Coturnix japonica: one gene and its partner. The protein of the gene in region 2 purifies or fractionates together with the protein of the main gene of each other region. This does not show direct contact. Links are inferred from orthologs where the notes say so. Each region holds a gene or a part of one and is shown on either strand. Other genes may lie near its edges.

Evidence for each region.
Region 1: the proteins of TLE1 (region 2) and FOXG1 purify together in Homo sapiens (affinity purification with western blotting; 3 studies listed by BioGRID and IntAct, with this or other methods). This does not show direct contact. The link is inferred for Coturnix japonica from reciprocal best matches to the Homo sapiens genes TLE1 and FOXG1.

The regions. Positions count from the first base shown.
Region 1 is NC_029520.1:31,592,678-31,596,994, reverse strand, and holds the start of FOXG1 (forkhead box protein G1), read left to right. Parts: upstream 1-1,499; 5' UTR 1,500-1,961; coding exon 1,962-3,296; 3' UTR 3,297-4,317. UniProt on the Homo sapiens protein: Transcription repression factor which plays an important role in the establishment of the regional subdivision of the developing brain and in the development of the telencephalon.
Region 2 is NC_029547.1:35,427,646-35,431,205, reverse strand, and holds part of TLE1 (transducin-like enhancer protein 1), read left to right. Parts: intron 1-1,564; coding exon 1,565-1,814; intron 1,815-3,560. UniProt on the Homo sapiens protein: Transcriptional corepressor that binds to a number of transcription factors. Inhibits NF-kappa-B-regulated gene expression. Inhibits the transcriptional activation mediated by FOXA2, and by CTNNB1 and TCF family members in Wnt signaling.

The DNA of each region.
Region 1 (4,317 bases), on a different chromosome or scaffold from region 2:
TTTCTCTTACCCCAGCACCACAGAGCTCCGTTACATCCTCTACACTGCACTCTTCTTCAGGAGTTCCCATCAATTGGCTTCAGTGTTGTGCAAGGAAATAATTACAAATTATCACGATATTTAAAAAATAAAATACAACAGCAATTCTGAAAAAGAAAAAGCCGAAGGTAGCTGATCATTGACTTCTACTTCTTTTTGGTCAGTAGCAACCTGTTACGAAATTGGATAAATAAATACAATTGTGGTGAGGTCAAGCGAGGTTAATCCAACGCACATAGTTCGTGCCATGCCCAACTGCAATTGTTTATTGCCCATCCACAGCAATTGTTGTAGGGATTTACCCTCCCTTTCTCACAGCCGCTCTCTCACACACGCACATACTCACAAACGCATACAGAAAAGGCACAGAGCCGTGGTGGTTGCACTGGGATCTGCACTGGATTTCCCGGGACACACTGCTGGGGCAGGGCTGCGGGTGTTACACTTCAACGGAACCATTTCTCCAGCGGGACAAACATGAACTTTGGGTGGTTGAACGCAGCGACAGGCACCGGCTGTACGTTGTGTTGCACAGCGTTCATTTTAAACGTGACCAATACTCTATCGCTCACGTTTCCCCTTCTCCTTTCAGTGCGAGGAAGCTCATTTTGCTTTGTTTCGGGGCCGATTCTCATTTCTGCTCGTACTCACGGCGGTAACGCCGCGATGCGGGGAGCAGCGCCGAGCCCGGGCAGCGCGCAGCCCGCTCCGTGAGCCCCTGAACCAACGGCACCGCCGGAATGGAGCCCCCGTTCCCTTTCCCACGGCCCACACACCGAGCCCCACCGGGGCCGACGGAGGGGCTGCTCGAGGCGCTGCTCGAGGCGCTGCGCCGGTACTGGGGCGCTTAATGCGTTCGGCGGTGCTGCTGTTCCGCAGGCCTCGGCCAGAGGCCTCTACCCGCCCGGCGCTGTCTCCGCCACATCGAGCCCGAGCCCCTTCCACCGCACAGCCCCAGCCCGGTCCCAGCTTCAACGCCCGCCCCGCCGTCCCGACCCCTCCGGCTGAGTTTCGTTGCTCCCCGTTGGTTAAATAAATAACAACAGCGCGGCGGGGCCCAGGAGCACACTGCCGACGGGCGCCGTCGGGATTCGCCAAGTAGTACCTCCGCTCCGGCACCGCGCGGACGGCGCGCCCCCCCCCGGCTCCCGTCCGACTCCCGCCCCGGTAGCAAGGAGGGTCGGGGCAACTTTGCTCCACCGGAGGAGTTACCGAGCGAAACCCCGGAACCGAGCGCCGTTGGTTGGGCACGAGGGGCTTAGTGCCGTCGCGCGGAGGAGCACGGCCGGTGACGCGCCCCGCACCGGTATCCCTGCGCCGCGGGAGCCGCGACGGAGAGGGGGCGGGGCGTCGGGGGGTGGGGGCGTGTCGGCGAGCAGCCATTGGCCGGCGGGAGGCAGGACGCTCGGGCACGCCGCCGCCGCTGATTGGGCGCCCGGTGGGAAAGGTTAAACCAAAAAATTTTTTACAGGCACGGTGCGTGTGTGCAGCTCTGAAATTAATTGCGGCCGGGGCGCTCCGTAAAGCCGGCTCTGCTCCGACCCGCGGCGCGTCCTCCCCCCTACACCGCTGTACCGGGGAACCGGCACCATGAAGTAGCTTTTTTTTTTTTTTTTTTTTTTTTTTGGTGTGTGTGTGTGTGTTTGCGCGGCTTTGGGTCTTTTTTTTTTTTTTGCTGCTGGTGTTGTTTGGTTTTTAGAGGGCTCTTTTACTCCTTTTTCCTCCTCTTTTTTCCCCCCTTCGTTCCGGCTCTCTCCGCTCGGTGACCGCTGCCGCCGTCCCCCGCCCGTGCTACATGCCGTGCCAGCGCCTGACGCTGAGCTCCCGCCGCGCCGCCGCCGCCGCCGGTGGTGCCGCCGCCCGCCCGGCCCCCGCCCGCCCGGCCCTGGCCGCCGCCAGCCGCCCCCTCGGCGCAGCGTGTGATGTTGGACATGGGAGATAGGAAGGAAGTGAAAATGCTGCCCAAGTCCTCCTTCAGCATCAACAGCCTGGTGCCCGAAGCCGTGCAGAGCGACAACCACAGCGGCCACAGCCACCACAACAGCCACCATCCACACCACCACCATCACCACCACCACCACCACCCGCCGCCGCCGCAGCAGCCCCAGCGCGCCGCCGCGGCCGAAGACGAGGACGAGGAGAAGGCGCCTTTGCTGCTGCCGCCGCCAGCCGCCGGCGCCCTGGAGACGGCCAAGGCCGAGGCGCTGTCGGGGAAAGGCGAGGCGGGTTCGGCGGCGGCGGAGCTGGAGGAGAAGAAGGGGGCGGCCGAGGGGGGCAAGGACGGGGAGGGCGGCAAGGAGGGCGAGAAGAAGAACGGCAAGTACGAGAAACCTCCGTTCAGCTACAACGCGCTCATCATGATGGCCATTCGGCAGAGCCCCGAGAAGCGCCTGACGCTCAACGGGATCTACCAGTTCATCATGGACCGCTTCCCCTTCTACCGCGAGAACAAGCAGGGCTGGCAGAACAGCATCCGCCACAACCTGTCTCTCAACGAGTGCTTCGTCAAGGTGCCCCGCGACGACAAGAAGCCGGGCAAGGGCAGCTACTGGACGCTGGACCCGTCCAGCGACGACGTCTTCATCGGGGGCACCACGGGCAAGCTGCGCCGGCGCTCCACCACTTCCCGGGCCAAGCTGGCCTTCAAGCGCGGCGCCCGCCTCACTTCCACCGGCCTCACCTTCATGGACCGGGCGGGGTCCCTCTACTGGCCCATGTCCCCCTTTCTGTCCCTTCACCACCCGCGGGCCAGCAGCACGCTGAGCTACAACGGGACCGCGTCCGCCTACCCCAGCCACCCCATGCCCTACAGCTCGGTGTTGACTCAGAACTCCTTGGGGAACAATCACTCCTTTTCCACGTCCAACGGGTTGAGCGTCGATAGACTCGTCAACGGGGAGATCCCCTACGCCACTCACCACCTCACGGCCGCCGCCCTGGCCGCCTCGGTGCCGTGCGGCTTGTCGGTCCCCTGCTCCGGCACGTACTCCCTAAATCCCTGCTCCGTGAACCTCCTGGCGGGACAGACGAGTTACTTTTTCCCCCACGTCCCTCACCCCTCAATGACTTCTCAGAGCAGCACTTCGATGACGGCCAGGGCCGCCTCTTCGTCCACATCGCCGCAGGCACCTTCCACCCTGCCCTGCGAGTCCCTAAGACCCTCTTTGCCGAGTTTCACGACGGGACTCTCTGGAGGACTCTCCGATTATTTTACACATCAAAATCAGGGGTCTTCTTCCAACCCTTTAATACATTAACGTCCATGGGATCAGACTGTAAGTGAACATTTTACACACGTTCGCGTTGTAAATGATGATTGAAAAGAGAAAAAAAAAAGAAAAAAAGAAAAAAGAAAAAAAAAAAAAGAAAAACAAAAAGCCCAGGTATTTTTTATTAAGTCCCCCATTTTCTGTACGTTTGTTCAGTCTTTAGGGTTGTTTATTATGCCACCAGGGTGAGGAGTGTCAGCGAGGTGCAATGTGGGGAGATTACATTGTAGACTATGGAGTTTGGGAGACAAATTTCTAGTAGAATGTGTATCTAATAGTGACTGCTTTCGCGATTCCTATTCAAATACGAAAAGTCCATCTCTAAAGCCGCCAGATTCTCCATGTTTGCAGTATTATAAGTTATCATGGATATGTCGGTGGGTGCAGACCATGAAAAAAAGCCACTAGATTTATGAAAACTATAAAAAGAAGTGTAATTTGTATTTAAGCAGATTCATACTGAGAGATGCCCAAAAACTACGTTTTGGCCATTTATAATTTTATCTTTTTCTTTACCTAACTGCTTCTTTTTTTTTTTTTTTTTTTGGGGGGGGGGGGGGTTCTTCTTCTCCTTCTTCTTTTTTAATTCCTTTTTTTTTTTTTAATTATTATTATTTTTTTTCCTGTTTGTTTGTTTGTTTACTTTTAGACCAAAGATTGGGTTATAGAAAATGCACTCAGTGTACGGAGTAATTTAAAAGCAGCCGCATTCTTTCAGTTCGCAGCACTGCCCGTTCCAATGATTCCGAAGGGGACAAAATTACTGATTGCCTTCAGTTTGTGTTGTGTATATTTTGATGTATGTGGTCACTAACAGGTCACCTTTATTTTTTATTTTTATTTTTTCCTAAATGTAGTGAAATGTTAATACCTATTGTACTTATAGGTAAACCTTGCAAATATGTAACCTGTGTTGCGCAAATGCCGCATAAATTTGAGTGATTGTTAATGTTGTCTTAAAATTTCTTGATTGTGATACTGTGGTCATATGCCCGTGTTTGTCACTTAC
Region 2 (3,560 bases):
AAGGGGGGGGGGGGGGGCGGCAGGGGGAGAGAAAAAGGGAAAGGATTCCATGGGAGATGTGTCTGATACACTTTGCAACTTGTATACAAATAAGGGAGTAAATTTCCTTATCTGGTTTTCCTCATCGGTTTTATTTGTCATCTTTATTGTTTCCTCATTCTCTTATTTGTGCATTCTCTGAGCATATCTTCATTTCACTTGTCCAACCACAAAACATGAATAGGGTACAGGAATTGCATGTGTATGCACTTGACTTCTTCTTTGGTTTATAGCAATTACAGTCAACTACCTATTGCCCTTCCCCTGTGGTGAAGACTGTGGTATTGCTTTGTGTGACACTACTGTTATCTTCTGTATGAAATAAAAATAGGGCCTTTTTTATTTTCTTCTGACTCCAAATATCTTCTTATCAACTCCTAGGCATACTCAGTTGCTTTAGGAAACAAGCCCAAGTACATTGTGGTACCTATTACAGGTACAGCAATCTTACTTGTTCCTTTCTTTCAAACTGTGCAATACTTGGAAACATGCAATAAAATTCTTGAAAACTACTTGCTTAGAACAAAAAATAAATTGAATTACCTACTGTTTGCTCTGTTGAAGATCGATGCAATGCTTTTAATTTGAACTATAGTAACTGAAGTTTTATGAGGAAGAAGGTATGTTTGGAAAAGAAAGTACAGTCCTGAGAACAAAAGCGTATTAGAAAAAATGATTGTATAATTGGGAGAAGGTATCCTATTAGTAAAAACATTACATGTTTTTTACCACTTTGCTCTCTTGAATAAGAATGCAGTGAGTGTAACAGCAGTATCTCACCAGTATAATAAAAACAGCTTTTGCAGTAGTATTTTCATTATTCTAAAAAACAAAAATACCACCCTAAATCTGAAACCATTATTTGTTGCTTTTTCTGCCCTGGTCTTTGTGTTGAACTGATTTTAATCATCATCTGAGGAAAGAATGTACATGCACTCTGCATGTTACTATTTTATGTACAAAACTAGTTCCCAGCTGGAAAGAGAGACATACTAGCACAGGCAGTGCTGATGTTGAAGATGAGGTGCTGAAATAGGTTGAGGACAAGCTGAACTTAAGAGTCCAGGGCAACAGGTGCAAGCTTCATGGAATACATCTGAAAGATGGTCAGGAAATGCTGCTGCAGGACTTGTGCTGAGACCAGTGTCAGAACCTCTGACTAGAAAGCAGCAGCTGAAAGCTCTTTTAATGGTCCAAATGGCAGTGTGATGGCCATGATCTTGATTCATAGAGTTAATATGAGATTTTAATGTGCTTTCCCAGTGCACAGTTTAGTTGAAACGTGAAAGCTGAAAATGGCTGTTGTAAATCCTGTTCTTTCTCTGAGGTTTCATGTACTTCATGTTATTTGGCTTGGCTCTGTAGCTCTTCTAGCCTTTTTCTCATGAAAATTAAAAAAACAAAAACCAACCAACCAAACAAAAAAAACCAAAACACACAAAGTACTGTCTTTTTCTGTCATTTTAGCACATATCTTTGCTGATATATATATTTTTTCTTCTCCAATCTTTCCTTTCCCCAAAAGAGCCTACTCCTTTCATGTTACTGCAGATGGCCAGATGCAGCCTGTTCCTTTCCCTCCTGATGCCCTCATTGGTCCGGGAATCCCTCGCCATGCCCGTCAGATCAACACTCTGAATCATGGGGAAGTTGTGTGTGCAGTTACCATCAGCAACCCCACAAGACATGTGTACACGGGTGGCAAGGGGTGTGTCAAAGTCTGGGATATCAGCCAGCCTGGCAACAAGAGCCCTGTCTCTCAGCTCGACTGCCTGGTAAGTGAACAGGAACTAATGTAGAAGGGTAACTTCACCTTGGAGACTCAATAAGGAAATAGCTGTCCTTGTCTGGATTTTGTTCATATTATAAGGAAATAGCAGGCAGTTCTGTTTCCTGCTGTATGTATTTAACTGACTTTTTTTTTTTTTTTTTTTTTTTTTTTTGTAACAATGAACAGGTGGTGTTTCAGAGAAGGAGACTGGTTTGTTTAGTGATAAATGTCATTACTAAGGGCCAAATAATAGATAAGACTTCTGAGAGCATACCTGATTCTTTCCCCATCCAAGTCATACTGGTGATCTTTGCACAGCATGGGTTTAAAAGGAAGCATGGCTGAGACAGGGACATTACATGGTGTTTCACTCATGCCAGAAATCATGGTGTCTTTTTCTGTAAGAGGGTAGTAGCCATATAAAGAAGTAGTGTGACAAGGTAGCAAGGTTACTTCGTATTGCTGTACTTTTGCTGGTTTCTATTCATATCCATCAGGTGCAAGCTGATTTGTTTGCAGTCAGTTGAAAAGCTAAATACAAAAAAATATTAAATAACAGATGCCTCTTAGACTAACGCAGTGTAGACAGCATAGAAAGAGGCAAATCAGAGTAGTGTTAACTGAGAAGGTATAACATCATAAAGCACAATAATATATATTACAGATGATAGTAATTCTTACATGTTGATCATAATAAATGTGTTTTTTCAAACTTTAACTCTCATTTGCTGATATGCCCATGTCAGTTGTCCAGTAGTGGTGTATGTATGGTTAAATATGTATTCTGTTTTGTGGCAGGTTTGTCTCTCAATGCTCAGTCCTAGCTGCATTTGCTTTAGTTACAGATCTGTATAGCTGCCAATAGCTAAGCTGACATTCCCAGTGCACTACTTGCTGCTCCCTTTCTGTGATTTTAAAACAAACAAATGAGCAAAAACACAAACAAAACCACCACCACTGCAAACAACAAACAAACAAACAAAGAAAACAACCACAGCAATCCCATAGTAGTAGAAGTGTCTTTGATTTCTACTTAGTGTTGTGGGGTTTTTTGTTTGTTTTGGGTTACTGATCCTATCCCTGCATTTCATAGTTTCGTGCGGGTTGGAAGGGACCTTAGAGATCATCGAACCAGCCCCCGGGATTCGAGCCTCTGTGTAGCAGAGCGGCACTTCTACCACTTGCGCCACAGGGGGGATTTGAACTCCGGGCCCCAGTGTTGCAAGGCGGCGTCTTTAACCACTGCGCCACTGGGGCACACAACAGTTCCTAGAGAACTGTTACTATGTTGGACAGCCAGTATGCTTAAGAAGTCAGCTTTGTAATATGTAAAGATTGAAATCTTTTCCATCTCTAAATCTTTTGTAGTATCTCCATCAGCAATAGTATCAAAAAATGTGAAACCAGTATGAGTATGACAGGAGTGATGCTGAGCAAGAGAACCAGCATAAGTCCAGTACTATAAGGGGAATATTATAACTCAACATTCTCACTTTAAAATGATGAATGTAAGATGTAATTTAAAAGAAAACTGTAAGATCTAAAAGACATGAGACTTCAACTGTATTTTCATAAGTGGTTGCTTAGATATCACATGTGAAGTCGCTTTGTTTTTTGCAAATATTCCAGTGATGCTGGTGATTGTAATTGGACTACACTTTCTCAAGTGCAAGCTTACTTTGGCACTGTCTTAATGTAATGAGATGGAAGACTTACAATTCATCAGGTTCATAAAAGTTAGTAATGAGAT